Saccharomyces cerevisiae S288C: one gene and its partners. Changing the gene in region 4 together with the main gene of any one other region gives a genetic interaction. Each region holds a gene or a part of one and is shown on either strand. Other genes may lie near its edges.

The links.
Region 1: mutations in SHH4 (region 4) and DAL2 together harm fitness more than expected from each alone (negative genetic interaction), as found in Saccharomyces cerevisiae (one large-scale study listed by BioGRID).
Region 2: mutations in SHH4 (region 4) and PCL9 together harm fitness more than expected from each alone (negative genetic interaction), as found in Saccharomyces cerevisiae (one large-scale study listed by BioGRID).
Region 3: mutations in SHH4 (region 4) and APS2 together harm fitness more than expected from each alone (negative genetic interaction), as found in Saccharomyces cerevisiae (one large-scale study listed by BioGRID).

Annotation. Positions count from the first base shown.
Region 1 is NC_001141.2:406,532-415,230, reverse strand, and holds DAL2 (allantoicase), read right to left. Parts: upstream 4,425-8,699; coding exon 3,393-4,424; downstream 1-3,392. Other genes in the region: DAL3 (ureidoglycolate hydrolase), read left to right, coding at 1-201; malate synthase DAL7, read left to right, coding at 552-2,216; DCG1 (Dcg1p), read left to right, coding at 2,461-3,195; DAL4 (allantoin permease), read right to left, coding at 4,856-6,763; DAL1 (allantoinase), read left to right, coding at 7,589-8,699. UniProt on the Saccharomyces cerevisiae protein: Utilization of purines as secondary nitrogen sources, when primary sources are limiting.
Region 2 is NC_001136.10:134,090-142,593, forward strand, and holds PCL9 (Pcl9p), read left to right. Parts: upstream 1-4,201; coding exon 4,202-5,116; downstream 5,117-8,504. Other genes in the region: homocitrate synthase LYS20, read left to right, coding at 1-634; INH1 (ATPase inhibitor), read left to right, coding at 1,090-1,347; AIT1 (Ait1p), read left to right, coding at 1,807-3,450; DLD2 (D-lactate dehydrogenase), read left to right, coding at 5,433-7,025; YDL177C (uncharacterized protein), read right to left, coding at 7,120-7,632; GID12 (Gid12p), read left to right, coding at 8,008-8,504. UniProt on the Saccharomyces cerevisiae protein: M/G1-specific cyclin partner of the cyclin-dependent kinase (CDK) PHO85. May have a role in bud site selection in G1 phase.
Region 3 is NC_001142.9:544,232-552,238, forward strand, and holds APS2 (Aps2p), read right to left. Parts: upstream 945-8,007; coding exon 501-944; downstream 1-500. Other genes in the region: CDC8 (bifunctional thymidylate/uridylate kinase), read left to right, coding at 1-481; protein kinase PTK2, read left to right, coding at 1,556-4,012; CBF1 (Cbf1p), read left to right, coding at 4,528-5,583; MNN14 (Mnn14p), read left to right, coding at 6,280-8,007. UniProt on the Saccharomyces cerevisiae protein: Component of the adaptor complexes which link clathrin to receptors in coated vesicles. Clathrin-associated protein complexes are believed to interact with the cytoplasmic tails of membrane proteins, leading to their selection and concentration.
Region 4 is NC_001144.5:487,162-495,285, reverse strand, and holds SHH4 (protein SHH4), read right to left. Parts: upstream 1,404-8,124; coding exon 897-1,403; downstream 1-896. Other genes in the region: pseudouridine synthase PUS5, read left to right, coding at 28-792; MAS1 (mitochondrial processing peptidase), read left to right, coding at 2,032-3,420; RRT15 (Rrt15p), read right to left, coding at 4,692-4,880; YLR162W (uncharacterized protein), read right to left, coding at 5,357-5,713; YLR161W (uncharacterized protein), read right to left, coding at 5,945-6,289; asparaginase ASP3-4, read left to right, coding at 7,997-8,124. UniProt on the Saccharomyces cerevisiae protein: Homolog of SDH4, but seems not to be a stoichiometric subunit of either the succinate dehydrogenase (SDH) complex or the mitochondrial inner membrane translocase TIM22 complex.

The DNA of each region.
Region 1 (8,699 bases), on a different chromosome or scaffold from region 4:
ACGTTGAGGGCTTTTACATGTTTGGGTAATCAGGCCGTTACCTATGGCTTAGGTACCTGGCATGCGCCCATGATAGTACTTGGCAAGGAAGAACATTTGGATTTTTCAGTCTTAATCTACGAAAGTCTGGACCCTGACAGGCCCGAGAAGGACTGTGTGGAAGAACACTACAGCGATGGCGACGTTTGTATTATCATCTAATTCTGCGACTGTGGGCGAAGTAAATATGTAAATGTTCATGTATTAGTAATTTCATAGGTTTACGATTATCGACATAAAATCTCCGCTGAAAGTTGCGGTGCGATAGAATACCGCGGATTTTGGAAAATTGCGTTTGCTTTTCTTATCACATAAATTGAATTTCATAAGTTTTGGCTTATCTTGGATAAGGTACATCGTGAAAGTATCACAAAGATTGGATAGTTTCGTCAATTGGTGAAGCAATAAGTATAAAATGGGGACATTTACGCATGTAGTCTTAATTCTTCACTTTCTGTGCAGTTGATATCACTTAGAGTATGTGTCATAGGCACGGTAAAGAGCACTGAACAATGGTGAAGATAAGCTTGGACAACACTGCTCTATACGCAGACATCGACACGACTCCTCAATTTGAACCTTCCAAAACTACTGTAGCTGATATTTTAACAAAAGATGCCTTAGAGTTCATTGTTTTGCTGCATAGAACTTTCAATTCAACACGGAAACAGCTTTTAGCCAACAGAAGCAATTTACAATCAAAGTTAGACTCTGGTGAATACCGATTTGATTTCTTGCCGGAAACCGAACAAATCAGGAACGATCCTACATGGCAAGGTGCTATCCCAGCCCCTGGTTTGATCAACAGATCCAGCGAGATTACTGGGCCACCATTGAGAAATATGTTAGTCAACGCTTTGAATGCTGAAGTAACGACATATATGACTGATTTCGAGGACTCTTCATCTCCAACTTGGGAGAACATGATTTACGGACAAGTTAATCTTTATGATGCCATTAGAAATCAAATCGATTTCAAGACACCAAGAAAGGAGTACAGGTTGAAGGATGACATTTCAAGACTGCCCACTTTAATTGTCAGACCTCGTGGCTGGCACATGGTGGAGAAGCACCTTTACATAGATGATGAACCGATTAGTGCTTCCATCTTCGATTTTGGTTTATATTTTTACCATAACGCTAAAGAGTTAGTTAAAATTGGTAAAGGACCTTATTTTTACTTACCAAAGATGGAGCACCATATGGAGGTAAAACTATGGAATGACATATTCTGTGTTGCACAAGATTTTATTGGAATGCCCCGCGGTACCATTAGGGCCACTGTTCTGATTGAAACTTTGCCAGCGGCCTTCCAAATGGAGGAGATTATCTATCAAATAAGAGAACATTCAAGCGGTTTGAACTGTGGTCGTTGGGACTACATATTTTCGACCATTAAAAAACTGAGAAACTTGCCTGAACACGTTTTGCCAAATAGGGATCTAGTGACTATGACTTCACCTTTTATGGATGCTTATGTGAAAAGATTGATCAATACATGTCACCGTAGAGGGGTCCATGCGATGGGTGGTATGGCTGCCCAAATCCCCATAAAAGATGATCCAAAGGCTAATGAAGCTGCAATGAACAAAGTTCGTAATGACAAAATTAGAGAAATGAAGAATGGGCATGATGGGTCATGGGTAGCACACCCAGCATTGGCACCGATTTGTAATGAAGTTTTCAGTAACATGGGTACAGCAAATCAAATATATTTTGTCCCGGATGTACATGTTACATCATCTGATTTATTGAATACGAAGATTCAAGATGCTCAAGTCACTACTGAGGGAATCAGAGTAAACTTGGATATTGGCCTACAATATATGGAGGCTTGGTTAAGGGGATCTGGTTGTGTCCCAATTAATCATTTGATGGAAGATGCCGCTACTGCGGAAGTATCACGTTGTCAATTGTACCAGTGGGTTAAACATGGTGTTGTCTTAAGTGATACCGGTGACAAAGTAACTCCAGAATTGACCGCTAAGATATTAAATGAAGAGACTGCAAAATTGGCTTCAGCAAGTCCGCTGGGTGAAAAGAACAAGTTTGCCTTGGCAGCCAAGTATTTTTTGCCTGAAGTCACTGGTAAAATCTTTAGCGACTTCTTGACCACTTTATTGTATGATGAAATTATTAAGCCAAGTGCCAAACCAGTTGACTTAAGTAAATTATAGAATGTATACGTACATAACCTGACGAATATTCGAAGAATTTTAGGCGCTGTTTTAACGCATAATCCAATCAAATTTGAGCTGATAAGGCCTGATAAGGTATGACAAATTGAACTCATATTTTTTCTCCATGCCAGATCATATTTAAGCCTTTGAAGCGAGAATATGTAAGGAAACTGAATTACTAATTCTTACCTCAGGAAAATCAAAAGAACAAAGAAAAACTAGCTAAGCAAATTATCGAACGATGGAAACAAGAATACTTGTTGTGAATCCTAATAGTTCGAAGTCAATGACGGTGTCCTTGCGGGAAACCATTGAAAAGACTTTTTCAATGGAATCATGTAAAATCAGTTATTTCACAGGGCCAGACACGTCGCCACCACAAATTGATGGGCAGGAAACAAGTATTAAAAGTATGGAGGCCTGTCTTCCCCTCTTAATTGATGACCAGGAGTCGGTATATTACTTTCAGAAATTCAACGGGATATTAATTGCCTGTTTTTCAGATCATCCTTTGGTAGCAAAGATAAAGGATAGAGCTGCTAAAGAAAAAGCAGATGTTTCTATTGTTGGGTTATTAGATAGTAGTATTAATTATTGCAATTTGGTTGGAAAGAAGTTCTCTATTATTACTTCAAATAAAGAATGGATTCCAATATTGAATAACTCTGTGGAATCGAAATTCTTGACAGGGAATACAGTTAACAAAAATTTATGGAAAGGTACGGTATCTACTGATTTACAGGTCCTCGACCTACATAGTCCAGAAAATTTCCAGCAGATAGCAGAAATTATATATCGCGAAAATATTAAAAAGCTTGATTCAGACATTGTAATATTAGGTTGTGCAGGATTCTCGGGTTTGCAAAATAAACTGGCGAAAACATTCCAAAGGGATGGCACGCTGTTTCTGGACACGATTGAGATCGGTTTACAGATTCTAATCACTATGATAAGATTTGTCAACTCACAAAAATAAATAGAAATATGATTGTTTTTTATAGAGTGTAAATTTTAATGTTTTGTCGTGAAGAAGAAGAAGTAAATAAAGTAGCGTGGGGATAGCGAAATGAAAACATTCAATTATCAAAACAAAAACTTTTAACTACATTTATACCTTTACTTTTAAAGTGCCAAGAGTGCATTGGTTTAAAATATACAGTAGTTAAGTATTTATCAGTACCCCCAAACTCTTATTCTTTTCACTCCTCCATCTGGAATAATCGTTAATTTGACATGGGAGACTCTTATACTCTTACGTATTTCATACACATGTTCTTTGTCAGGCCCCGTCTTTGACTTACCAACTAGCTCTACCCATGTTCCTTCACCAGTGTTCTCACTTGATTCTGACTCCTTCAAGCAACCTTCCACGGTAATGAACTGAGGGAAGTTCCCCCTGAAGTGTGCCGTATCAACAATAATCTTCTCAATGAAAGAAGACTCCCTGCCCAGTTGAATTACCGCCCAATCAGTATGACCTGGTTGTCTCGATCTTTTGGTTTCCCAGCCGTCCGACATATCATGACCTCGACCTGGCAGTAGCAAATTATCAACTGAACCGAAGTGTTGGTCAGAATACTTTAAAGCGACAGCACCATTGCAAACATAAGCCAAGTCAATTATATGATCCTTCGTTTTGAGTTCTGGAGGAACAACTCTTCCGTATAATCTAAATCTGGCGATTCCTCCATCGGGGTACATCTTCAGCTTGATGTGAGTAAACCTTTCTTTAGTAAGGCCGTTGCCTCTAACGAAAAGATGCCTTTGCGAAGGACCACACTCAAATTTCTCAACAATCTCAACCCAACGCGAGTCATCTTCCACTATATTACCTTCTTCGCCCTCGTCATAGAGCGCCTCTATTGATACAAATGGTGCATGATTACCATTGAAAAACGCAGTGTCAATTTCACCACCAATAATATGGGCAGCAGCGACTCCCATCTTGATGATAACCCAATCGTATTCCATCTCATTATGTCTTCGTGTTTCCCAGCCGTCGTACCATGCGCCTGAATGAACAAATCTGGTAGGATCCCTTATAGGAGCAGTTGGCTGAATTAAATTTTCAGCAGAAGCAAACCATTCATCTGAAAAAGAAACCACTTGACCACCTAACTTAGATCCTATAACATCTACTGCTTTGTTTTTTGAAATGATTATTGACTTAAATTCTGCCTCATCTGCCAAACTAAAAAACTTCATTTTTCTAAAGAAGAGACCGATTAGATACAATTAATTGTTTGATCGGCTTCATAATTTCCCCATATCATAGCAAAATGCACTTCCATTCCTTTATAGCATTTGATCTCAGAAAATGTGTCTATAATTTAGACTTTTCTTCCAGCTGAATTTCATTGTGGTTCCTGTGTTTTTATCTTATCGCTAATTCGAGTCAAAGATAAGATGTCGGAATTATCCGGAGTTCTGATAGGCTCAAACAAGCGCAAGTTTGGTAGGTTGATGACGGTTTAGCTAATCATCAGTACATTATTCAGACGGGAATGCATGTATGAAGCTGATAAATTTGATTAAGAAAGGTACATAAAAATACACAGAACGAATATTAAGGTGTTTTGAAGAAATTATCAATTCTCCTGATCACTACTGGTAAGAGAATAAATTGGGATTTTTATTTAGTAAACTATCTTTTCCTCGGTGCCATCATAGATACTGACTGTGTCATCGCAGAGGTCATCCCTACGTAACTCATTCTTCCAATCTTGCTCGAAGTCCTCAACATAAGCCCATCTTTGGAACCATCCTTTCTCTGTCAGAAAATTGGTTACGGGAGTACCAGGGACAGGAAAAAAGTAACATAATATGAGGTATATCACCGCACTAATAAAGAAACCTACCGGATAACCTAAATAGTATAACCTCATTGCACCCTCTGAAACCGTAATTTTTGGAGCTCCAACATCACCTATAAAACCTGGTAAATTTGGAGCGATACCGCAAATATACGCAACAAAGGCCCTCCAATTGGCACCAAATTTGTTTCCAAACATGTAAAAGGAACCCTTCTGTGCCAGGAATAAATGTGTTAATTTCACATATCCTCTTCTTACTACGAAATAATCCGCGCAAATGACACCAGCAATACTGGAAAGGAAAATTGCATAAGCACCCAAAGCGCTGGTGAACTTACTTGAACTGGCCATTAAGTTCCATGGACAGATACATAGAGCCATTGCCACACAGAATAAAGAACCTCTTCTAATATTAATATATCTTGGAAACAAAGCCGTCATATCAGCACCACATGCCAGAGAGTTGGCAGAAATGTTTGTACCCAGTTGAGCTAAGGCAAATACAAAAGAAATCAAGAACACACCAGCCCTAGTACCTCTGGTGTAAGTGGTCTCCAAAAATTGACCAAGTACATCCAGTGGTGACCAATAGTTAACCCCATATAAGTGATAACCGGCCGCAGTAACAATGATACCGATCAAACATGTTATGGCGAAGAACAATGGGATGGCAACCAATTGTGGCCACAAAGACGCTTGAGGATTTTTGGCAAATCTACCGAAGTCAGGGGCGTTGATAATCAAAGCGGCAAAGTTAGCAACACAGGCCATTAGGGATCTAACGAATATCCATGAAAATTCGGAACCATGAGGTGAATAATCATTCAGCGTCCCCAACTCAATTTTACCGTGCGATTTCTTCAAAGCCCAGATTAAAAATCCAAAGGCTGCGAAGGGGATCAAAGCTGCTTTTACTGTGAATAAATGCCTGATTTTATGAGGAGCCACTAGGACAAATGGTATACTGACCACCCAAAATATAAAGAAACACATGAATTCAAAAGTAGTGCTATTTGGAGAACCAAAATGGTTTGGGATTCTATCTTCCAGATTCTTGCCAAAAATAGATTTTAGCATCAGTGCCACGGGCGTTGCACCTAACCAGGCTTGCACGGCATACCATACTATAGCCATCACGACACGATTTATAATCGGCCACATAGAAAAGAATATACCAAATGAGGCCCTAACAGTAATAGGGAAAGATAAGTGATATGCGGAACCAAATCTCGAGTTCAATACTACGAAGATACCTGCAAAAGTGTAGCCGATCCAAACTGTAAGCCAACATTGCCACCAATTCAGACCTAGTTGTAGACCTGTACCAGCTATTTGCCATGTGTTAATATTGAAACAGTCTGCCAGCCAGAAATATAAGTAATTGAACCAGGACCAACACCTTCTTTCTTCTTCAACCGGTTTCAAGTCTCTGTTATACAAGAACGACTCTTTCAACGAAACATTCAAAGTTGTCTTGTCTAACACAATGAAATCGTAGTATATTTTACTCCAGATGGACTTTGTTTCGGGCAAGGGCACGACTTCGCTCTCCTCTATTGAGGAGTTGTCCACATACACATTAGTGTTGATATTCTTGTTCTTGTTGAACTTCCCATTTTCCACATCTATAATATCATCTTCATTGTTTGTATATGACACAATAGATGTGGAGGGTTGGACACCTTTCCTCGAAGGATTACTGAAAATAGCACTTAGAGCGTCGTTAGCCATTCTCGTCTTTGTTGATGTTTTATATCACAAGATGTAGATGAATATAAAAGGTCAAAAAGGGAAACTAAAGTAACATATATATTCAAACTACTCATCAAGCTAATTATTTATACTTTTTTTTTCTTCCCCATGTTTTCCTAGCCTTCTATGCTCAACACTAGCAGATCAAGTTTCTCGATTACAAACTTGTTTCTCTGATACTCTACCTCTCTATGCTAATCATTGGACACAATTTTTAAAGGAACCTTATCGACGTGACAGCAAAGCGGTCAATCCATCCTATTATTCCTTCTCATCTCCCTGAAAAGGAAAACATCCTGGATCTTCAATTACACATACACATTCCTTATCGCAACTAGATTAGAGGCGCTATTTTGTATGCGACAGCGAGTAAGGATGGCCGGAAAAAAAGCGGGCGCATTTTCCCTGGCAGAAATTTTTCATTGATAAGAAAGTAATACCGATAAGAGATACCCTCGAGCCACATTAGACCCGAGAATTGCAGGAAAGAAAGGAACTGCATGTTTCGATTCTATTGTCCCTTACTGCGGATCATCGAATAGGCGCAAATGTGTTGATGGTGGACTGATGGAACTTTATCAGGAGAAGTGGTTCAAAATTGCGGTGCTTAATTATCTATATAGAGGAGGCATATCTCATCGAAGGGGACAATGATGAGGTAACGCAAAAGTGATGAGTTTCTACTGGTATCTTGTAATTGAAGGTACCCCTTTTTCTTTTAGCTATCTTTAATTAGGTTAGAAAAGTGTATATTTCGCAAAAACGTATAGGCAAAAAAAAAGTGAAATACTGCGAAGAACAAAGATGCCTATCAATGCCATCACTTCCGACCATGTCATTATCAATGGTGCAAATAAACCTGCGACTATTGTGTATTCGACCGAATCAGGCACGATTCTGGATGTTTTAGAAGGCTCCGTGGTTATGGAGAAAACTGAGATAACCAAATATGAAATACATACGCTGGAGAACGTATCTCCATGTACAATTCTGCCTGGACTTGTGGACTCTCATGTTCACTTGAACGAGCCCGGTAGGACTAGCTGGGAAGGATTCGAAACTGGAACTCAAGCTGCTATTAGTGGCGGGGTCACAACGGTGGTTGATATGCCGCTAAATGCTATTCCTCCCACAACAAATGTGGAGAATTTCCGAATTAAATTGGAAGCTGCTGAGGGCCAAATGTGGTGCGATGTTGGGTTTTGGGGTGGACTGGTACCACACAACTTGCCAGACTTAATTCCGCTTGTCAAAGCTGGCGTTCGCGGGTTCAAAGGATTCTTGCTTGATTCTGGTGTGGAAGAATTCCCTCCAATTGGCAAAGAATATATAGAAGAAGCCTTGAAGGTCTTAGCCGAGGAGGATACCATGATGATGTTTCATGCTGAGTTGCCCAAGGCACATGAGGACCAACAGCAACCCGAGCAAAGCCATCGTGAATATTCTTCGTTTTTGTCCTCGAGGCCGGATTCTTTCGAAATAGACGCCATCAATTTGATTCTCGAATGCTTGAGAGCCAGAAATGGACCAGTTCCTCCTGTACATATAGTTCATCTGGCATCAATGAAAGCAATTCCCTTGATCAGAAAGGCACGTGCGTCAGGGCTACCAGTCACAACAGAGACTTGTTTCCACTATTTGTGTATTGCTGCAGAGCAGATCCCAGACGGAGCCACCTACTTTAAATGTTGTCCACCCATCCGCTCTGAGTCTAATCGCCAAGGCCTATGGGACGCTTTGCGTGAAGGTGTTATAGGCTCAGTAGTGAGCGACCATTCGCCATGCACCCCTGAGTTGAAGAACTTGCAAAAAGGTGACTTTTTCGATTCTTGGGGAGGAATCGCTTCCGTCGGACTAGGTTTGCCATTGATGTTTACCCAAGGCTGCTCTTTGGTCGATATCGTTACATGGTGCT
Region 2 (8,504 bases), on a different chromosome or scaffold from region 4:
TTGTGCCATTGCAAACGCCTACACTGCTTTGGAAGGTGGTGCCAGATTGATTGACGTCAGTGTACTGGGTATTGGTGAAAGAAACGGTATCACTCCTCTAGGTGGGCTCATGGCAAGAATGATTGTTGCCGCACCAGACTATGTCAAGTCCAAATACAAGTTGCACAAGATCAGAGACATTGAAAACCTGGTCGCTGATGCTGTGGAAGTTAACATTCCATTCAACAACCCTATCACCGGGTTCTGTGCATTCACACATAAAGCAGGTATCCATGCCAAGGCCATTTTGGCTAACCCATCTACCTACGAAATCTTGGACCCTCACGATTTCGGTATGAAGAGGTATATCCACTTCGCCAACAGACTAACTGGCTGGAACGCCATCAAAGCCAGAGTCGACCAGTTGAACTTGAACTTGACGGATGACCAAATCAAGGAAGTTACTGCTAAGATTAAGAAGCTGGGTGATGTCAGATCGCTGAATATCGATGATGTTGACTCTATCATCAAGAACTTCCACGCAGAGGTCAGCACTCCTCAAGTACTATCTGCAAAAAAGAACAAGAAGAATGACAGCGATGTACCGGAACTGGCCACCATCCCCGCCGCCAAGCGGACTAAGCCATCCGCCTAACGTTCCCAAACCATTACATTATGTTCTTTCACTTATTACATACGATATATAGCATCTACATCTACATATCTAAATGATGTTTTTTCCCATCTACTTTGTCCGATACGCATTAAAAGAAGAAGATTTACTCTCCCGTGATGCCGGGCCAATCAGACGCGCGCATTCGCGGCAGAATAAGGGGAGGCTGCTGCGGGTACCAAATATCCAGATATTCACAATTATGCCAATCAACTGTCTAGTTGCTGACACCCATCGTTTTCCACTGCAACGAGGTTTTGGGGCTAGAAAAGGCGTTAACAATCGTTAGAGAAGGAGGGGTTCATAACTTGACTTGTTGTATCTTGTTTAAAACTTTCTTTGAATTTGTTCGTGGTTGAATTTGTTTTTGCTATCCCAAAGGAGTGCATTTTACACGCATTACTACAGCACACTTTTATACAGTTCCACAATAGAATATGTTACCACGTTCAGCATTAGCACGCTCATTGCAATTACAGCGCGGTGTGGCCGCAAGGTTCTACTCTGAAGGTTCTACCGGCACCCCAAGAGGGTCAGGCTCAGAGGATTCGTTTGTTAAAAGGGAAAGGGCCACGGAAGACTTCTTCGTTAGGCAGCGTGAGAAGGAGCAACTACGCCATTTGAAAGAACAACTGGAAAAACAACGAAAGAAGATTGATTCTTTGGAAAATAAAATTGACTCGATGACCAAATAATCATGCGTTTCCGCAGAAGCTTTTTTTTTTTTTTTTTTAGAATATTCTTACTCTTTTATAGTCAAACAGCAGAAAAACTATATAATAATACATCACACTGAGCTTTTGCATTTTCGATAACTATCATTCTAGTTTTCCTCTGGTTTGAATTTTCCTCTTGTCTGTCTGACTAATGTCACTCATTATTTCCACTTCGCGCAAAGTTCGTCCCAATGCGGAAAGGCATAGAAAGATAGGAACAGTGTGGAACATGGAAAAGTTCCAAATAACGTCAATAGTCCATACTTAAGATACGAAATTTCAAAATTCCTTCTTTTTTGTTTCAACAAGCTTAGCCTAACACCAAGAATATACTTAGCATCTCTTCGCATTCAAAATTTCTCTTCCATTCTTTGACGTTTTAAATCATACCTCGTATTCTTTACACAAAAGAAAGATACCTGTGAAATATATCTGAATATGGTCCGATTAAATCATGCAGCATCATATTTTATGCCTATTTTCTGCTCCACAAGGCCTCACATAGTGATACTTTCTGCGCTGTTTAGTATTTCACTGTTTTCACTATTCTATGCGTCGTCCGAATTACTGCTACACCAGTATGATGATCCATTGATGTTCAAACCAAATTCGCAGGACTATTTCAGGACCTTTCTTTTGGGGCTTTTTTCACCATTTCTTTATTATTTCCTGAAGACCTTTCTATTCAATATAAATCAAAGGTTTTTAATATTGAACCTGATAGTGGATTTTCCTATCAACGACGTCTTTATGCTTTTGATACTGATTGGTTTAGCGTACCCTCAGGTGCAAGATCACGAAGGCGGTACGATCAAGCATAAGGAATGTTCTTGGCACATCATTCCAAGACAAGCCTATATCTTTGGTATATCATGGGCCCTGGGTGAATTCACCATATGCATAATAGGGAATTTGTTTAACTACCAAGAAATCGCCGATCCAAACATTAATAGTGGCTTCACACACCAGGAAAGCGCCAACACTTACTGTAACAATAATGATATGAGCCATAACGATGACTGCGGTTGTAGTACAGAATATCGCCCCAACGTCGTAGACAGAAGTGATATTACGTTGTCCAAATGTATTGAAGTAAGAAATGACTCATCTTCCATATCGAATAACGTATACTCGTCTGAGTACCATCCAATCAAACCTCTACGTTCATCGTCATCAACTTATGGCAGCATACGACAGCAACCTCATGAAAATAAGAAGCAGCTGCATGTACCAGATAATTCGCAGGACGATACAATTATCATGATGAACCCCATCGACAATTCATTAAAGTTGACAACTCTAGATACGGGTGATTTGAGTTTCCCCATAGACGAAGAACAGCCCATTTTGAAGAAATCTTTTGGTTATACATGGGCAGTTCCTAATGAAAATACACAAAATACTACTAAAAGCTTCACACCGATAAAGAGATTTATTGCATTTAGCACGGCATACCAGTTGGTCACCGGTTTATTGTTAATGATATTGGTAGTTGGTAGTAATATCATGTTGACAATTGGGGAATCATTGATTCTGTCGATGTATTTCGTCTATGTTCGCGGCCATGAAGGATTATTTACTCCCGTGGTGAACTACTTCGGCTCAAGAACCATTTCAAATTTCATCTTATGCGTAATAATTCCTTTCATATCTCTAAACTTCCTCATCAACACTTCGATATATTTAAGAAGAGAGCTAGACGATTGGTTTAATAATTCACAGGGGGAGTTTGAGGACGACGACGAAAATACTATCAGTAAGAGAGTAGCTACAAATCAAGAGTACCAACATCCACTGAGTGCTAATTACATTTCGATGGATAGTCCTGATGTAATAAATAGCAGCCCGGGTCACTTCGGGATGAATTCAGGCCAGTTGTTAGGTAATACGACGTTATATTATGGTAGTTTAAATGGGGATGATGATGATATGACCAACGACTCCGCTTTACTAAGATTCTGCAAGAAGCTAGTCAAAAATTGGAGGGCTTTGGCAAGAAATGATTCTTTTGTACTTGGAGTAATGGTTTCTTGGAGTCTTCTTGTTTTTGTAACGGGAATACTTTCAACAGTTTATATATAGCATATAAGTAACGACCGTGCACATATTAGGGTGTTCATATCTTGAAAAATCTTTATGTTATCCATTTTACTTTAGGGGAGGTGGAGCTTAATAATAAAATTTACATAAGAACAACAATCTGTAAGTAATTATAAAAATATATTAAAGGGACATTTTAACCCTACTTTAAAAGTTTAACTACATCAGTGGTTCATCAATCAAAGGTTATGCAAGGTAGAAATTTGTCCAAAAGAAAATAGATCATGCATCATTCAATATGGAGCTCACACTGTATGCTACAATTTGGCCTCCATTCATAACTGCCAAGATAAAATTTGTTGGCAATATGGAGCTCACACTGTATGCTACAATTTGGCCTCCATTCATAACTGCCAAGATAAAATTTGTTGGCAATATTGAAAATTCTTAAATTAGCGCTGCGCGGAAACCAGCGTCACTAATTTTTTTTTTTATTGCTGCACTAAAAAAAAACCAGCTCAAGTAGATAATCTTACAAGGGACAAGTAGTCAAGCCTTGCTTATTATAATTCTGTTTAACGGTGCAGTGAGTTTGGACATTCATGCAACGTGGTAAATATGTGTCTCTTTGCTTCTGTATTTAAGCATTTGGGCAGCTTGCGGTCAGTAGAAGAGTGCATCGACATTCATAGATCTCTAATAACATATATTTAAGTGGATATACGCAAAGAAAGGACAAGAAAACTTGTTTCGGTAACAGCATTATTAATTCTGAAGAAATACGCACAAAGAGATGATTTCTGACTACGATGCTCTTTTGCAATTCAACAAAAAACCTGTTTCGCAAGAAATGATTCAGTTCTTAGCCACTTCTACTGCTTCCATAATTAAAATCAGGGAAAATAATAATCCAATCCAAGGATGTCGCCCACCAGACTTATCTATCTTCATTAAAAACGTGGTAATTCAGTCAAATGTTCAAACACCAACTTTAATGGCCACATCAGTTTATTTAAACAAACTGAAAAGCGTAATACCAAAAAATGTGTACGGTATTAACACCACAAGACATCGGATATTTCTCGGATGCTTGATATTAGCTGCCAAAACTCTGAACGATTCTTCTCCCTGGAACAAACACTGGACCACGTACACAGAAGGTTTACTCAGAATACGTGAGGTGAATACCATCGAACGAGAACTATTAGAATATTTAAATTGGGATGTGAGGATAACTACACCGGATTTGATTGATTCTCTTTCTTACTTCCTCGGGCCTATCAAGGAACAACTATTTTTACAAAGGAGACAAGAAATGCTGTTGTTCAATGCACCAAGTCCCGGCCAACTGAAAGAATATATAAATCATAGAAGACCGGTTTCGCATTCTAGAACTTCTTCTGCTATATCGGTTCCTTCACTGACATCCATGGCAACAGTTTCGACAACAGACTCAAGGTCTTCTCTACTGGCAAAATACCAACCGTCCCTACCGTTGGTGGAATCTGACAACTTCAACAAAAAAAATCATGTGCCGTTAAGGAATAATAACGATATCTGTAATAATTTCAGGGCAGAGGAAAACATACACTCAGTAAACCATATTGATGTAACAATGGGAAGTTCACCAGTAATGTCGCATAAGCCCACAATTCACCAACGGTTAAATTTTACAAGGAGGGGCTGGTCATCGTTTTTCAAGCAATAATTCTAAGTTACTCGCCTTTTACAAGCTCTATAAATATTCTTTTCCGTTCTTTAGTTGTCTTAACTTTGTACAATATGAATAACCATCGTTTCTAGGCTACTAAAAAAACACCATACTACATAAACAAATATCTAATAATGAATACTCTTGGCATTCGTCTTGTTTCTCGAGGAATATCGGCCGAGTTTTTTTCATTTTGACAGGTTATATAATTCAAAATCTATCTGACTCTGAAAAAGTGGTAATAAATGCATTGACAACTTCTTCTCTTTATTTTACAGACATTAATCCAGCACTACAAGTGGCATATAACAAGATGCTAAGAAACATTTTGGTGAGAAGTACTGGCAGCAATTTCAAATTTGCTGGCAGATATATGAAATCATCAGCTCTTTTAGGATACTATAGAAGAGTTAACTATTATTCGACCAAGATACAAACCAGACTGACTAGCGAAAACTATCCAGACGTGCATCGAGACCCTAGATTCAAAAAATTAACGTCCGATGATCTAAATTATTTTAAATCTATTTTATCGGAACAAGAAATATTAAGAGCCAGCGAATCAGAGGATCTTTCATTTTATAATGAAGATTGGATGAGAAAGTACAAAGGACAGTCCAAGTTAGTATTGAGACCTAAGTCAGTGGAAAAAGTTTCTTTAATCTTAAATTATTGTAATGATGAAAAAATTGCCGTTGTCCCACAAGGCGGTAACACGGGGTTGGTAGGTGGTTCTGTGCCCATTTTTGATGAATTAATTCTATCTTTAGCAAATTTAAACAAAATAAGAGATTTTGACCCTGTATCAGGTATCTTGAAGTGTGATGCTGGTGTAATCTTGGAAAATGCTAACAATTACGTAATGGAACAAAATTATATGTTTCCGTTGGATCTGGGAGCTAAAGGTTCCTGCCATGTTGGTGGCGTGGTTGCAACCAACGCTGGAGGACTAAGGTTATTGCGTTATGGCTCACTACATGGAAGCGTTTTAGGCTTAGAGGTGGTAATGCCCAATGGTCAAATTGTTAATAGCATGCATTCCATGAGAAAAGACAACACCGGTTATGATCTGAAACAGCTGTTCATTGGCTCAGAAGGTACTATCGGTATCATCACTGGTGTTTCAATCTTGACTGTTCCTAAGCCAAAAGCGTTTAATGTATCTTACTTGTCTGTTGAAAGTTTTGAAGACGTTCAAAAAGTCTTCGTCAGAGCCAGGCAAGAATTATCTGAGATTTTATCCGCTTTTGAATTTATGGATGCTAAATCTCAAGTATTGGCCAAGAGCCAATTGAAGGATGCTGCCTTCCCTTTGGAGGATGAGCATCCATTTTATATTCTTATCGAAACGTCAGGGTCAAACAAAGATCACGATGATTCCAAACTTGAAACATTTTTAGAAAACGTCATGGAAGAGGGCATAGTAACGGATGGTGTAGTGGCACAAGATGAAACCGAACTCCAAAACTTGTGGAAGTGGAGAGAAATGATTCCAGAGGCAAGTCAAGCTAATGGTGGTGTTTACAAATACGATGTTTCTTTACCACTAAAGGACCTATATTCTTTGGTTGAAGCCACTAATGCAAGACTTTCTGAAGCTGAATTAGTGGGTGATTCGCCCAAACCAGTGGTGGGCGCCATTGGATACGGTCACGTGGGTGATGGTAATCTACACTTAAATGTTGCAGTTAGAGAGTACAACAAGAACATTGAAAAGACTTTGGAACCATTTGTCTACGAGTTTGTTTCCTCAAAACATGGTTCCGTTAGTGCCGAACATGGGCTAGGTTTCCAAAAGAAAAATTACATTGGCTATTCTAAGAGCCCGGAAGAGGTCAAGATGATGAAGGATTTGAAGGTTCATTATGATCCTAATGGAATTTTAAACCCTTACAAATACATTTGAAAATAAAATGCCAAGTTTTATAGTTATCTACATATGTATATATTTATCAATATTATATTCTACAATTGTGTATATTATATGGTAAGGGTGATATTTAAGGAAGAAATCCACCCTTCTTTAAGGTTTCCACTGCACATGTTGAAATGTGTCTGAATCTTGATGAGCCCAAAGGCGTGCCACCATACCATCTGGTCACTATTACCAAGACGTTGAATATGTTTGCTCTTTCAAGTAAGGTCAATAAACGCTGTCCAGCACCAGCTTCGCCACAGTCAGCACATCCTTGCTCAATGTTCTTTGGCTGCACCGTTATGTTCCTTGACTTGTTAACATGACTATTATTACTCTTATTTGCTTTATTGCCCTTCTTTTTCTGCTCTTGTTGTAAGTGCAAATTATTTGATACCTCGGCCGTTCTCCAGGCATACATGTGCATGTGGGATGCCTTGGAGACGCTTTTGTTGTTTTGCGTTAGTTCTTGGAGTATGGAGGGTATATCCTTTTGATTTTGTAATGGGCAACATCTTGCTTGAAATTTCGATTTTCTATCAACTAAAACTTCTGATTCATTCCATATTTTCACTAGCTTACCAACATTCTTACTCATTTCTCCAAAAAATAGTAATACCAAACATCAATACCTATCTAAGAATCTGTATAATGTCTTTTCTAAAGGTTTTTTACAGCTGATGATTGATGCATGACTTATTTCCACAGTGCCGTATTTTCTCAGTTGCCGTTTTGGGTCTGCTTTTCACAATGCGAAGCTTTGTTGAAAAGAGCTCTAAGGTCAAAAACAATAGTAAGCTGATCGGTATTAAGTACTTGCCTTCCTGAAAATTGCTAACAAACATCCAAATATACCTTCCCCATAGTTGAATGGCATCTAATAGAACAAAACCAGGTTAAGATAGGTTTTACTTTGAGTTGTTAAATACACGCAGAAAGCGTCTTTCCACATAATCTGAACATTTTGTTATCGATGGCTACTGGCAGGATTCAATTTGCTGTTTCTACTCCCTGCAATACTAAGGGTAAACCGTCTGGTTATAGGTTATTTGAATTTAAAAACGATCGATTAGCACTGGTCCCATCAGAAAGAGGTTGTACAAAAGTAGATGTGAATGCAAATATACAAGCGTTTTGTTATTTAAGGCCTAATGGTAGAGACACGTCAATATCTCCAGACGCAACGCATATTTTGGACTCATGTGATTACATGGTGCTGGCTAAATCCAACGGATTCATTGAAATCATAAGCAACTATCAATACAAGATAAAAAATGGCCTGCGATTAGCGCCCTCTTATATCCTTAGATGTACTCCGGAAGATTTCGAATCCAATTTTTTTAGTGACTATATGATCGCTGGTCTTGAATATAGTCAAGGTTTATTATATTGTTGTATGTGCTCCGGTCGAATATATGTCTTTGTAATGAACCTTCCCACTGATTACATTCAGTATAAGAACATGTACAA
Region 3 (8,007 bases), on a different chromosome or scaffold from region 4:
TTTCCAATTATCAGATCAGGCAATTCACCTCTTGTTTTCGGCAAATAGATGGGAAATAGTTGACAAGATAAAGAAAGATTTACTAGAAGGCAAGAACATTGTCATGGACAGATATGTTTATTCTGGAGTGGCATATTCTGCCGCTAAGGGGACAAATGGAATGGATTTGGATTGGTGCTTGCAACCCGATGTAGGGTTGCTGAAACCGGATTTGACATTATTTTTAAGCACTCAAGATGTCGACAATAACGCCGAAAAATCTGGATTTGGTGACGAAAGATACGAAACTGTTAAGTTTCAAGAAAAAGTGAAGCAAACTTTTATGAAGCTATTGGATAAAGAGATAAGGAAAGGCGATGAGTCAATCACGATTGTAGACGTTACTAATAAGGGCATTCAGGAAGTTGAAGCGCTTATTTGGCAAATCGTTGAGCCTGTTTTGAGTACGCATATTGATCATGATAAATTTTCGTTCTTCTAGGAGGATCTGTACATATATCCTAGTCTAGTCTATCTAAAATACTTAGTCTTTCTAACAGCATATCCTTTGAAATTTCTTGTATTTCCCCTCCAATAAACATCTCGTCCATTATCATATAGACTTTGTAAAAGTTGAATACGATATCCAGTTCACAGACATTGCCGAAAAATGCATCTAGCACCTCCACAAACAGATGGATGTGGCACAAATATATGGGTTCATCGTCAAGTAAGTCCACACCCATGACAAAATACAGACCCGCATACCTCCTGTATATGAGTTTCGTCGAATCGGAAAACTCTACGAAGTTACTCTGATGCTTATGATCTCTGGAAGATATGAGTCTATAAATCTGCGCAATGGCATCCTGGCTACGCTGAGGATCCGAACTGTGTACATCGAACCATCTCACCAACCGCACCACACCCTGCTTATTAAAGCACAGTATAAACTGTACTGCCATTTTTTTTATCCCTTACAGCAAACAAGTCTCCGTTCTTCACAAAATAACAGCACCAAACGCTATCTCAAGGCAAACGTTCTTAATGTACCTACTGAATAAACCATTCCTCCCCGTTTGTATCAAAAGTATCCGAAACTGTTCTATGCGTGCAAAATGATATGTCTTGCAAAACTATTGGAAAGACCCTTCCACTACAGGTACAGTTTAGAAATGCCGGAGCTGCAAGTACTACGTGCCGGCAGCATGATAAACATACCCGCGTCCTATAGCCATTCAAGCCTACATATATGGTATATACAACATGAACGCTTTAGTACGGTCACCCCATCTACAAGCATAACCTCTTGGGCAAAGGCGCAAATAGTTGCCACGTGCGAGTGCGGTGCATGGGTGGCTGTCTTTTCGTCATTGGCACGACCCCTTGCAGGTGGGAGGTAGAACCAAATAATATCCGGTTGACGGTAAAAGCAGGTTTATATATAGTGTTAAAGAAAGGTATTGTCACATCCCGTCGCTACCCTTATCCAAACCACGATATCGCACGCACACCAGGAAAGTAAAGTTGTGTAAGCCGTAGCAGTTTTTTACAGGTTAACCGATTGAATAAGATAATGGCGGGAAACGGTAAGGACAAAGAGGTAGATAAAAGTCCCTCTGTTAGTACTTTGAAACTATTGGGAAAACGCCTGTTTAATTCCAGCAGTCACACGGATAACTCTTCGTTACTGCTTAGTGCCGAACAATTGGGCAATGGGAGAAGTTTAAGAAAAAGGCCAACGTCTCCGTCCATTAGTGGCAGTGGTAGCGGTGGTAATTCACCTTCGTCTTCTGCTGGGGCACGGCAGAGATCTGCTTCTTTACATAGAAGAAAAAACAATGCTTCTGTAGGATTTTCAAATGGGTCTGTGTCGTCACACAAGTCCTCTGTCGCATTGCAGGACTTAATTAAACATAATAATAACCCTTACTTGAACTCTCCCTCTGATATTCTGGGCACAGGTACTGGCATTGCCTCGACAAGAGATAGGGATAGAGCAGTTTTGGATAGAGAAAAGGAAAAAGAAAGGGCGAGAAACAAAGAAAGAAATACTCATCACGCGGGCTTACCGCAAAGGTCTAATAGCATGGCTAGTCACCATTTTCCCAACGAGAATATAGTTTATAATCCATACGGCATAAGCCCAAACCATGCTAGGCCAGATACTGCATTTGCAGACACTCTGAATACGAATAAGGAGAACGATTTGAGTTTTTACATGCATGATGGTAACAGCAAGATACGGATGTTGCCCCTTCCAATTGCTAATCCGAACGATTTTTTGCCCGAAGATATGAAACAATATAGTGTCCATTTAACGGATAATTTCGTATTTGATACGGACAATAAACCTATTGGTTCGGGTGGGTCTAGTGAAGTTAGAAAGGTTAAATCAAGTTACAGGCAAAAGGATGTTTACGCTCTAAAAAAACTGAATATGATATACCACGAGTCACCCGAGAAGTTTTACAAGAGATGCTCCAAAGAATTCATCATAGCTAAGCATTTAAGTCATAACGTTCACATCACGAATACTTTTTATCTTCTAAAAGTTCCCACGACCACATATACAACTCGTGGTTGGGGGTTTATTATGGAACTAGGTGTTAAGGACCTCTTCCAACTGATGGAAAGAACAGGCTGGAAGAACGTTCCCTTCAATGAAAAATATTGTCTTTTCAAACAAGTGGCCCAAGGTATTAAGTTTTGTCATGACAATGGTATTGCTCACCGTGATTTGAAGCCCGAAAATGTTTTAATTTCTAAAGAAGGTATATGCAAATTGACGGATTTCGGTATTTCTGATTGGTACCATGTGATACCTCATGACTACACTAGTCCAGTGAAAACATGCCAAGGTATGATTGGCTCTCCACCATACACTCCGCCAGAGGTAATGTACTTCGATGCCAAGAAGCACTACCCCGAAAAGTTCCAAAAACCCTATAATCCGTTGGCCATGGATTCCTATGCCCTCGGAATCATGCTGATTACCATGATTAACAATATCATCCCCTTCATCGATTCTTGTAACACTGATGCGAGATTCAGGGAATTTGAAGTGTCATATGACAACTTCATCAATCATCAAAACCCACATTTCAGGGACAAGGGCTGCCACAAGCCGGGTCCTGGTTCCGAATACTCTTTAGCAAGAAATTTCAAGAATACTGATGCCACGCGTATCGCATGGAGATTGGCTGACCCGAACCCTGCAACTAGATATACAATGGATGATTTATTTAATGATCCGTTTTTCCAACAAATTGAAACATGTGTCGAGCCAAATGATGATGACTTAGTAAGGGTTCCTGAATTAAGGAAAAGTACTTCTACCAATGATTTTAGTGAAAATTCATTAGATGCACCCCATGATCAAGAGGTCATTCACACGTCTAATCCATTCCTAAAAAAGGAAACGCTCACTTCTAAACCAAGATCGATGTTGGAAATTGCAGAATCTCCTTCCTTGAAACAAAAATCCAAGGTAAAAGATAGCGCAAAGACCAAAACACACGATGTTGGGGATGAAGGGGGGAATGAAAGCACCAAACCTAAGCAGCAAGATAAAAAGGAAAATTTGAAGAAAGATGAGGTCAAGAACGGCGACAAGGACAAAGTCATTGAAGAGGCTACCACGACTAATGTGGACAGCATATTGGAAAAACCAACACCAACCTCCACAAAAGTAGAGGACAACTTAAGCGAAGATGATTCCACAATGAAGGAATTAAAGTCGATGCTAAACTCCACCCCTACTACACCAACACATAATGGCCCCACTCCGCTCCCTGCAAAGGCTGGCACTCAATTAGATAAGCGTATGAGCGACCTATCACTCAAATCGGAAACACCGGCTTCTACAAAGAACTTTAGCGCACCGAATGTTTCGTCATCAAGCAATTCACTGAGAAGCCTCGGAAGTCCAAGCGTGTCATCCTCGAAAAAGAAGAAGGTAATTCACCACCACTTGGACATTACCAACAGCGTTACAAACATGTCATCCGTGAGCGCCTTTATCTCAAGATAGACGTTAGGACTTCTTTAATTCCCTCTTTTATGCTTTAGTATCGTCATATTCTTTCATACCCTTCCTTATAAGCTTTTTATATAAAATATCCCACCGGGAAAAGATAAAGAACGGAAGATAAATCAAACAATGAAATAAAGCACACACATATAAATCCACATATGTACTTATATATTTTACTTCAAACAATAAACAAACATTTTATTATTTATTTTTCCCGTACATCGATGTACGTGATCGGTTTTTCTCATTCCTCTCGGATCCTTCGGGACCACCATGTCTCACCCACCAAGGTCAAAAAAAAAATAAAATCGGACGAGAAAAGTATTGGGCAAACAACAATTATCCACGTGCTTATCACGTTTTTTTATTTAATGTAGAATGTAAACCATTATACCTTAAAGATAAACACTTTGTTAATTAATCATTTTAGTTGGCGGTCATTTTCATTTCTGCTACAAGTACCAACATCAAGTGCTTAAAATATAATACGGTTTTCTACACTTTTATTAACGATGAACTCTCTGGCAAATAATAATAAGCTTTCTACTGAGGATGAGGAAATCCATTCGGCAAGAAAAAGAGGCTATAACGAGGAGCAGAACTACAGCGAGGCCAGGAAAAAGCAAAGAGATCAAGGCTTGTTGTCACAAGAGAGCAATGACGGAAATATTGACTCTGCTCTGTTGAGCGAAGGGGCTACGCTAAAAGGGACTCAAAGTCAGTATGAAAGCGGACTGACGTCTAACAAAGATGAGAAAGGAAGTGATGACGAAGATGCGTCAGTGGCTGAGGCTGCTGTTGCCGCTACCGTCAATTATACAGACTTAATCCAGGGCCAGGAAGATAGTTCTGATGCCCACACATCTAATCAAACGAACGCGAATGGTGAGCACAAGGATTCCCTTAATGGGGAAAGAGCCATAACCCCATCAAATGAAGGAGTCAAGCCAAACACCTCCCTGGAGGGAATGACGTCTTCACCAATGGAATCTACACAGCAATCTAAAAACGACATGCTCATACCATTGGCAGAACACGATCGTGGGCCAGAACACCAACAGGATGATGAAGACAATGATGACGCTGACATTGATCTCAAAAAGGATATAAGCATGCAGCCGGGTCGTCGTGGAAGAAAACCTACTACTTTGGCCACAACAGACGAGTGGAAAAAGCAAAGAAAAGACTCCCATAAAGAAGTCGAAAGGCGTCGCCGCGAAAACATCAACACTGCAATCAACGTTTTAAGCGACCTCCTGCCCGTGAGAGAATCAAGTAAGGCAGCAATATTGGCGTGTGCCGCTGAATACATTCAAAAATTGAAAGAAACCGATGAAGCAAACATCGAAAAGTGGACGTTACAAAAATTGCTTAGCGAGCAAAACGCATCGCAATTAGCCAGTGCAAATGAGAAACTGCAGGAAGAACTGGGAAATGCTTACAAAGAAATCGAGTACATGAAACGCGTTTTAAGGAAGGAGGGAATAGAATACGAGGATATGCACACTCACAAGAAACAAGAGAACGAAAGAAAAAGCACTAGGAGCGATAATCCACATGAGGCTTGAGAGTTAAAAATAGATAGCTAAATGTATTTCGAGTCTCCCTATGTATCTGCGTCTCTGCCCCATAGCACCTCTGTTAAGTTTTTATCAATATTCCATCGGCATATTTGAAACCGCCCGGATGGTATTAGAGAATCACTCAGCCTCAAACTCAGCAAGTAAAAGAGGACGGGACGGACTTTCAAATATGTCTTTGTACGTTATTGTTTTTCATCCCTAAATGGCTTAGTAAAAAAGTTTTGCCAAGAATTTTTTGACGTTCAATGGAAAAATCGCCAAGAGAAATACGCACAACCTCCGTTTTCCCGCCTTTTATCAAAAAATCTTAGTTTTCCCTTCCTTTTTTTTTTTTTGGGTCGCAGAAAAGAAAAAAGATAGTAGTGGAGAGGATTACCTGAAAAAAACAGGCAAAAACGTCACATCCTTGAAGGTCCGCGACAATCACGGGCCTATTTCTACTTTGGGGCTTTGCTTGATTATTTAAGAAGAAACATTGGACGAAGATCAAGTAAGAGTGCACTTGTCTTTAGTCTGGCATTCCGCTATTTGTATCTTATATAGTTAACAACAACTGTTATTTACTTTCTGGAAAACAACCAACGTTTATTTTTATGAATTAGAATCATTGAGATTGTCTAAACGAGAGGAAGAGAAAGAAAGAGAGAAAGAGAAAAGAAAGCGAAGCAAGATACAATTCCAATGATGTTATCACTGCGCAGGTTCTCCATGTACGTTTTGAGATCTCTGCGGCTTCACTTTAAAAAGATAATCATTACTCTTCTAACTATCCAGTTACTATTCATTACCATATTTGTATTGGGCGGTCGCTCGTCGATTATTGACGGTAACTGGAAGTCATTCATGGCGCTCTTTTTCAAACCGCTTGCTTACACTAACAGAAACAACAACCATGCTTCTTTCGATCTGAGATCAAAAGACAACGTAGCCAAACTTTACGAAAAAATGAATTTTGATACTTCAGGCAAATGGATCGACACGTACACCTTGAAGAATAATCTTCTCACTGTGAAAATGGGTCCTGAAAAAGGGCAAGTTCTTGATTCGGTAGATGAATTGAGATATTACGATAACGACCCAAGGCTGGTATGGTCAGTTTTACTAGATCACTTATTAGAATCAGATTCCAATGAATACGCATTTTCGTGGTACGATTGGGCTAATTTTGACTCTACAAACAAACTCATTGCACTGAGACACACGAACATATCTTGCCAGTTCGTTTGCGAGGGTGCCTTTGATAAAAATGTGCTAGAAATGGTAGAGAGTGAAGTCCAAGAGCCTTTATTCGTCACAAATAGGAATAAATATGACGAATCGCTCTGGTACAACAGGGTAAGAAAGGTTGTCGATTCTAATTCTGTGCAGCAAGCCATACATGATCACTGCATGAATAATGACGCGTATTCCAATGGTACTCCCTTCGAATTGCCTTTTATCATAAGCGAAATTTCTGAAAGGTTGAGGCCAGAAGTGTATGACTTACAAGCCAAAAACCACTTGTTATATTCTAACTTTACTCCACTGTCATTAACCGTACTGGACAGCGATAAAGATGCATACAGAATCAATTTGAAGACAACAGACTCTTCCAAATCAAATATAGTACAGACAAATCTACTACAGAATTACATTAAGAGGCACAGAAATGAAATGGTAAATGGCGACCTCATTTTCAACCACACTTCCATGTTTGAAAAATTTTTACATCATGGATCCACTAAAAAAAGGAAACTTGACGTTGAAGCGTTGGATAAAACAATATACGCTGGAGAGTATCTAGAACTATCACCATCTGATTTCCAATTCAATGCAAAAGAGAGGATCATTGAATTAGAGACCAGGCTCAGGTCTGAAGGCCTACCATCTCATGATACCCACTATTTACGAAGTTTAAAGACGTCCGTAAATACGTCCCCTGCATTACAGCAAAAGTATTTCGCAGAGGCCTCTGATATTACGGACGCGACTGCCGATGGTCATCATAGAGACAGGCGATTTTTCTCAATCGGACATAATCTCCTAAATGACCCTCAGGAGTTTGAAGCAAGATTGAATTCTTTGATCAGAAATTTTCAGAAATTTGTTAAGGCTAACGGATTAATTTCCTGGCTATCGCATGGTACATTGTATGGATATCTATATGATGGTCTGAAGTTTCCCTGGGATGTCGACCATGATTTACAGATGCCCATTAAACATTTACATTACTTGAGTCAATATTTCAACCAATCCCTAATATTAGAAGATCCAAGAGAAGGTAATGGAAGATTCTTACTAGATGTAGGAAGCGCAATTACGGTAGGAGTTCATGGGAACGGCGAAAACAATATTGATGCTCGTTTCATCGATATTGACTCAGGTATATACATTGACATCACGGGACTTAGCGTTAGTTCCGATGCGGCT
Region 4 (8,124 bases):
GATCAGGATCAGTTAGGATATATTTTAATGTCTCTGAAAAAGCAGATACCAATAATCTTTGAAAACACGCATTACTTCATAGTTAATAAACCACCTGGCATACCTTCTCAACCACCAGACTGCAGAACATGGGGCAGGACACATCCTAATCTTGACCCTACTCCACTACTAGAAAGATTCAAGGCTATTTATTATTCACATAGAGAAGTAGAATTATGTCGTACTGTACATAGGTTAGACCATTGTGTTACGGGGGGGATGCTGATTGCAAAGACTAAAGACGGAAGTGTAAAATTCTCTAGATTTTTACAAAAGGGCGGCAACAACGGTTATAAGTTGCAAAGAAAGTATGTAGCTATTGTCGAGTCGTCCGGTCGTTTCAACAAACCAAATAACTATGAAATTAAATATGGTCCTAAATATAATTTCTTGATTTCACATGGTGGTAGGGAGATTACTAAGTTCAAAGAAGTTGACGAAAATTGTATTGTTTTACAATTGGTTACAGGAAAAAAACATCAGATTCGAAATCACGTCTCTCAAATTTTAAATCAGCCCATATTAAACGACAAGAGACATGGCAGCACTGTCAATTTTCCAGAGTTGTTCAATGACCAAATAGCGTTGCATTCAGCGTGCATAATAACGAAAATTGGCCTGCAAACTAAAACGCACTTGATACCTATGGAACACAATAATACTGGCCAACTTTGGTCAAGAAAATACGTCAATGAAGAGGGTGAGTTCACTTTGCCCATAAAAGAAGTCCTGTTGGAAAACTGGGACCAGTAAAATAAGCAATAAATAATCGGTTATTAAATTATTTCTAATACACATATATAACGAGAATAAAAAAGGTAGTCACCACTAACCAAACCATATTGATTAATTGATGATTACTGCCTCTTTTTTTCCACAGGTTTGTTATCCCATAATGATTTTAAAGAGGCAATAAGACCAGCTTCTTGACTCTCTAATTTATATATACCGACGAACGATAAAAAGGAGCCCAAGCTCAATAAATACATCGCGTAATGATGTACCTTTCCATAGACTCTTTCAGAAATATAGTCTATAATGCAAGACTGAAATCCGATATGACAATGACCTAGCAGGACCAAGGAAAGAAATGTGTCGGTAAAAGTGGAAATAGGGCCTGTAGTGACCAAGGGAACTGCGATCAGCGGAAGAACCGCTAAGGACAGTCCGCGCTCGACAATCCAATGGTACGAACCCTGAGCTCTGCTTTCGGGCGGCATATAAGAGGAATCATTTGCGGTCCCACTCACACCTCCAGGTTTCTGTGGAATCTTTGGCAGAAAAGGAATGGTAAAGGATCTGGCAATTGAAGTATGAAAAGCCCTTATTCTGCAGAGTGGTTTCAAAAACTTAGTCGATGACATTCCTACTTTCCTAAGAATTGGGGCAACCTTTTTGAGAATCGTTGCTGATTCATTAGAACTGATAAACGGTCTGTCCACTGGGGACTGAAAATATATAGGTTTGCTTCTATGAAATTCGACGTCAAAATTAAGGGATACCTATGGCCAGCGCCCTTCAACTGACGATTTTTAGTTATCATACGCGTCCCTTATTATCTTAAACCGTAATAAAAAATCGTTACTTCGGATAAGGGTACTCCAATCTGGATGTGAGAGTCTGATAGTACCATGTTAGAGCCGCGTTGAAGGTGCGAATCAGGGTTTTATTCTCCTTAAACTTGATCCCGTCCAAAGGAGTTAAGAAGTAAAATGCACGGCTTTACTAAGACTATATTTACGTATTAAATTCCTCAACACGTAGTGAGGAAAGCTAAAATGCTGAGCTTAATTTCTCAGCCAACAATGGGTGATACTACTGTTCAGTGCACAGATTAGATGACCAATATTATTTTCACGTATTTAGTGATATTCGTAATCGAGCTGGACTCATCTCTTTAGTAATAAGAAGTGAATTTGAACGCTATGGATAAATCATGATATCTTGCTCTCAGGCATCAAACTAGTGCGCAAAGTGATAGGTGATCATACAATGTTTTCAAGAACAGCATCCAAGTTCCGTAATACACGGAGGCTTTTAAGTACAATTTCCTCACAAATTCCAGGAACCAGAACCTCTAAACTTCCTAATGGGTTGACAATTGCCACAGAGTACATCCCCAACACATCTTCGGCTACTGTTGGAATATTTGTCGATGCTGGTTCTAGGGCAGAAAACGTAAAAAACAATGGTACAGCGCATTTTCTAGAACACTTGGCTTTCAAGGGTACTCAGAATAGGTCACAACAAGGAATTGAATTGGAAATTGAAAATATCGGATCTCATTTGAATGCATATACATCAAGAGAAAACACAGTTTATTATGCTAAGTCCCTACAAGAAGATATCCCAAAGGCTGTTGATATTCTAAGTGATATTTTGACTAAGTCAGTTTTAGATAATAGTGCTATTGAGAGAGAAAGGGATGTCATCATCAGAGAAAGTGAAGAGGTGGACAAGATGTATGATGAAGTTGTTTTTGACCATCTTCATGAGATTACGTATAAGGACCAACCTTTAGGAAGAACCATTCTGGGTCCTATAAAAAACATAAAATCAATAACAAGAACTGATTTGAAAGACTATATAACCAAGAACTATAAAGGCGACAGAATGGTATTGGCAGGTGCGGGCGCTGTTGATCATGAAAAATTGGTACAGTATGCTCAAAAATACTTTGGCCATGTGCCCAAATCTGAATCGCCTGTCCCGTTGGGATCACCAAGGGGCCCATTACCAGTTTTTTGTAGAGGTGAAAGGTTTATCAAAGAAAACACGTTACCTACAACACATATTGCTATCGCATTAGAAGGCGTGTCATGGTCTGCACCTGATTATTTTGTAGCTCTGGCAACACAAGCGATTGTTGGTAACTGGGACAGAGCCATTGGCACAGGTACAAACTCCCCCTCTCCATTAGCTGTTGCAGCAAGTCAAAATGGTTCTTTGGCTAATTCTTATATGTCATTTTCCACCTCTTACGCTGATTCAGGTCTGTGGGGAATGTACATAGTAACTGATTCTAATGAGCATAACGTGCAGTTAATTGTTAATGAGATCCTGAAAGAGTGGAAGAGAATAAAATCTGGCAAAATATCGGATGCAGAGGTGAATAGGGCAAAAGCTCAGCTAAAGGCAGCTCTGTTGCTATCGTTGGATGGATCGACAGCCATTGTAGAAGATATAGGCAGACAAGTGGTGACCACAGGTAAAAGATTATCACCAGAAGAAGTTTTCGAGCAGGTTGATAAAATCACTAAGGATGATATTATTATGTGGGCAAATTACAGATTACAAAACAAACCAGTTTCAATGGTTGCCCTAGGAAATACATCCACTGTCCCTAATGTATCCTATATCGAAGAAAAACTGAACCAATGACCACGCCGATTTATTAGTAAGTTCATTTCACATCTCTGCTAATTTCTAATTTCTCTTCATACTTGTATAAAGTTCTATGTCAATAAATTCTTGTTCAAATGAGATGTTGCTACATAAAAAATATGAATAGATATCGGCGGCTCTAGTACCCATTCCCCAAAACACGATGTCGGTATATTAACAGCACGTGTATTTTCTTTTTTGAAGGATACATTAATACTTTCTTCCTAAAACTGCACTTATAGTGGGGTGTGAAAGGGCCCTTCCCGTATTCAATATTAAAGCAGCCCTTCAGATTGCAAAAAATGCACAATAAATTTGTTAATATAAGCCACAAGCCAAAAAAAAAAAAGTGATGCAATTGTATATACTTAACATAAAGATTTTAAGTTATCCGTTACCATTGCATACAGAATTATCCAGATAATACTGTTTACTATGCTCATCGATCGTTTCATATTGGTCATTGCCTTGAAAAAAAAGCACGTGAAAAAAATACTGTGAGACCTTTTCTTGCAATATCTCGATCAGATAGCATCTGTAGCTTTCCATTTAGCTGAACACATCACACTGATCTGATAAACACCATTATATCTTCGGTATTATTTACTGAATTTTCCCTTATAGCAGCAAGGGAAAGCAATAATAAACGTGCTACTAAAAGTTTTTTTAGTCATCGCTCAATGGAGGTCAGCACAATACTGTGTGATTGGTCATAATAATTGCATTGTAGAATATCTGCCAATGAATATGTACCTACCTCTTCATATCTCTGAGCAGTAAATACCTCTCGATTTCGCTGCTTTTTCGCCAGGAACATTAAGCTGTGCAAAAAAATAAATCTTCGACTTCCTATATCCTGCAGCAGCACCAGTTGAAAACAACTGTAGCCAGAAAAAGTCAACGGACCTGAAATATAAGCTGATAAACTACCTTCTCATTCGTAAAGTACTTAACAAAAAATAATGATGACCTTCCAGTGTAGAAGTTTATCATAGGGAAGGAAATTCAATTCGAGAAATACGATTCTAATAACTATGGAACTACCCTTAATTAGTCCTAAAAAGATTGATTACGCAGACAGTATTTGTGTTACCCGCCCTTTAATATTCGTCCAAAACGGTAAAATAGGTAGATAGGACAGATGCAGAACTCATCAGGGGTAACACCATAGAATCTAGAAATTGAACGTAGGGTAACTCTAATATTCAATCCATATATAGGTAAAAAGAAATAAACATCACGTGATATGTAATACCTCTAATGCACTACTACCTTCTGTTCATAATACAGTTTATGTAAAAACAATAAATTTCGCCAGGAGAGTTTGGCTGGGGCGGCACATCTGTTAAACGATAACGCAGATGTCCTAAGGGGGACTCATGGAGAACAGAAATCTCCAGTAGAACAAAAGGGTAAAAGTCCCCTTGATTTTGATTTTCAGTGTGAATACAAACCATGAAAGTGTGGCCTATCGATCCTTTAGTCCCTCGGAATTTGAGGCTAGAGGTGCCAGAAAAGTTACCACAGGGATAACTGGCTTGTGGCAGTCAAGCGTTCATAGCGACATTGCTTTTTGATTCTTCGATGTCGGCTCTTCCTATCATACCGAAGCAGAATTCGGTAAGCGTTGGATTGTTCACCCACTAATAGGGAACGTGAGCTGGGTTTAGACCGTCGTGAGACAGGTTAGTTTTACCCTACTGATGAATGTTACCGCAATAGTAATTGAACTTAGTACGAGAGGAACAGTTCATTCGGATAATTGGTTTTTGCGGCTGTCTGATCAGGCATTGCCGCGAAGCTACCATCCGCTGGATTATGGCTGAACGCCTCTAAGTCAGAATCCATGCTAGAACGCGGTGATTTCTTTGCTCCACACAATATAGATGGATACGAATAAGGCGTCCTTGTGGCGTCGCTGAACCATAGCAGGCTAGCAACGGTGCTCTTGGCGGAAAGGCCTTGGGTGCTTGCCGGCGGATAGCAATGTCATTTTGAGTGGGGATAAATCATTTGTATACGACTTGGATGTACAACGGGGTATTGTAAGCAGTAGAGTAGCCTTGTTGTTACGATCTGCTGAGATTAAGCCTTTGTTGTCTGATTTGTTGGCACGAGCCGGCGGGAGCGGGCTCATACTAACGAAGACGAACCAAAAGATACACAGTAGCGGGACGAGAGTCTCGCAGCTGTCTGGCGGGCGGCGAAGTGCGGGTAACGCAGTAGCGGCGCTGTGGGCGCTGCTCGAGCGTTCTGGCAGAGAGGCGGTCCGGGTAAGCGTGTGCTGCATCGTGGCTCTCAGGTCTGTTTCGCTGGTCTGTGAGCGCTGCGTGTGCGTGTGCGTGTGCTAAGACGGGGTCCGGGTAACGTGCTTGCGCGCGGAAAAAAAAAAAAGATTGCAGCACCTGAGTTTCGCGTATGGTCACCCACTACACTACTCGGTCAGGCTCTTACCAGCTTAACTACAGTTGATCGGACGGGAAACGGTGCTTTCTGGTAGATATGGCCGCAACCGAAATAGTTAGGTGTGGCAGCCGTACATATGGAAGCCGGGCGATGGCTCCGCCACGTGCAAAGTGCAGGAGCTTTGGAAAGAGCGTGCATATAGTGATGAAAACAGAGAGCACGGTTGCGAACGGAGGGTCTCACAATGTCTCAAAGGATAAATCTCTTGGTTTGCGGGCCGCATACAAGATATGATTGTAGTTTTTTCAATGGCTCTACTGTCCCACTGCTGTACAACAGAAAATGAGAGATCAGAGAAATAGTATTCCGGAAGCCAGTGGTGTTTACTTATTAGTTTTTTGACGCCACTGCGCGAGTTGCTGCCTAGCTGTTCCTTGGCCAACGCATATTGGAACTTCATTCGACTGATATGCTTACTCAGAGGTCCATTACTTCAAGAATTGTCTCACCTATCGGGCTTGGCGTTTGTACAAGAAGAAACTTTCATCACCTTTGTTTCGCCACCAAATGAAAAAAAAAACTTGCATGGCTTAGGTGGTTCTTTGTCAGAAATATCTTCTAAGGATCAAGAGTCTTACGTGATTCTAATCCCTTGGCAAGTCAGATCTCAAATATGCTCACTCGCAGATGAGTAGCAATGAATGCGACCAAGTGACTAGTGACTGGTGACGACATGAGCCAAGCTGGAACCAGCAGCTTTCACGTCGGCTTATAGCTCTCTATGGGGCAATCAACCACTCATAGTGACTGAAGATCTTTTTAATATAATTACATTGCTAAAAACGTCATACCGCCTTGTGAGCACGATAAACAGCATATGCATTGAGCCTTGTTATTCTTCGGAACTGGGGATAGTAAAATGCGACCCGCTTAGGATGATCAAGCTATCTTTGGGACGGAGTTTTGTCATGGGAGTGGTCATCCTACTGGTGATGCTTCAACATTTGATTTACTAAATTTTGAAATCGGCCGCAGAATAAAACTATTATGTCCAAACAATTGATGGTCGAACCAACGTTAAGGGTTTCAAGTATTGAATTGAACTTTTATGAGTTCTATAATTTCGTTGCGCAAATTCAACTAAACCACCAATATCCCCCCTACAACGCTACACTTTATACCGATAGAGGAATAACGCATAGAGCCTTCGTAGAATTCTTCAACTCGTACGTGATGGGGATTCTAAACCTATCGTCATGTCGCTGTACAAGGCTGCTGCCTGCTTTCAAATTCCCAATTTTACCATGTCCGTTTCGCTGAGCCGAATCGTCACACAAGGTAATTAGTTCTGGGTATCGCTTCAGTATAGCACTGGTTTTTTCCTTGTAAAACCACAGTCTAACAATTAAATGAAGCTTTTCGAAGAAATTAGACCATGTTAGACTGAAAGCAAAGACTCCGGCCCGTTCTGAGGTAAGTTCAATGAAATTGGACAGTTTCTTTTCAAGGTTAGGTTTTGTGTTCGAAAAAAATAGATTACCGCACCTCCTTTCCAAACCCCATGAGTTTCCATTAAGGAAGAGCAACGTCAATAATACCACCTTTTGCAGATGTGATTCAACTCAAGATGCTGTAATCTTTCCCTTCTGACCCTAGATCACCTCATGATATCCTTTTGAGGCAATTAAAGCTGCAGTGTAAACTGTTGAATATCTTTTTGAAACCAAAAAAAAGGACGTTCCACACTTGGCTGCTTTCTTGATAAGCGAGATCTTTACTTGGAGATCTCGCTTAGTCCTCCGAAGGGTAAACCCCGTCTCTTATCTTTAAAAAAATGTATCAGACCCTTCAGCACGTGACAGACAGCAAACTACCAGTCGACGAGGATGCTTTTCCGAAAGTCATGACACAAGGGAAGGACTGTAAGATCGATATCGGCGCAGTCTTATCGGATGTTCCAAGTCCTTGTCTCTTTCATTATCTGCTTGCTATCGCAAAAAAAAAAAAATCAATTTGTTTAATATCAACACATAATGTACAAGAACAAATCATGACATACAAAAGCCATATAAGATGAGTCTTCAAGCAGCACCAAGAGGCCTGAGGCAGAGCAAATGTTGGCTCGCTATTCTTTTGTAAGCAATCTGGTACTCACCAACCTCCAACTATGAGATCTTTAAATACCCTTTTACTTTCTCTCTTTGTCGCAATGTCCAGTGGTGCTCCACTACTAAAAATTCGTGAAGAGAAGAATTCTTCTTTGCCATCAATCAAAATTTTTGGTACCGGCGGTAC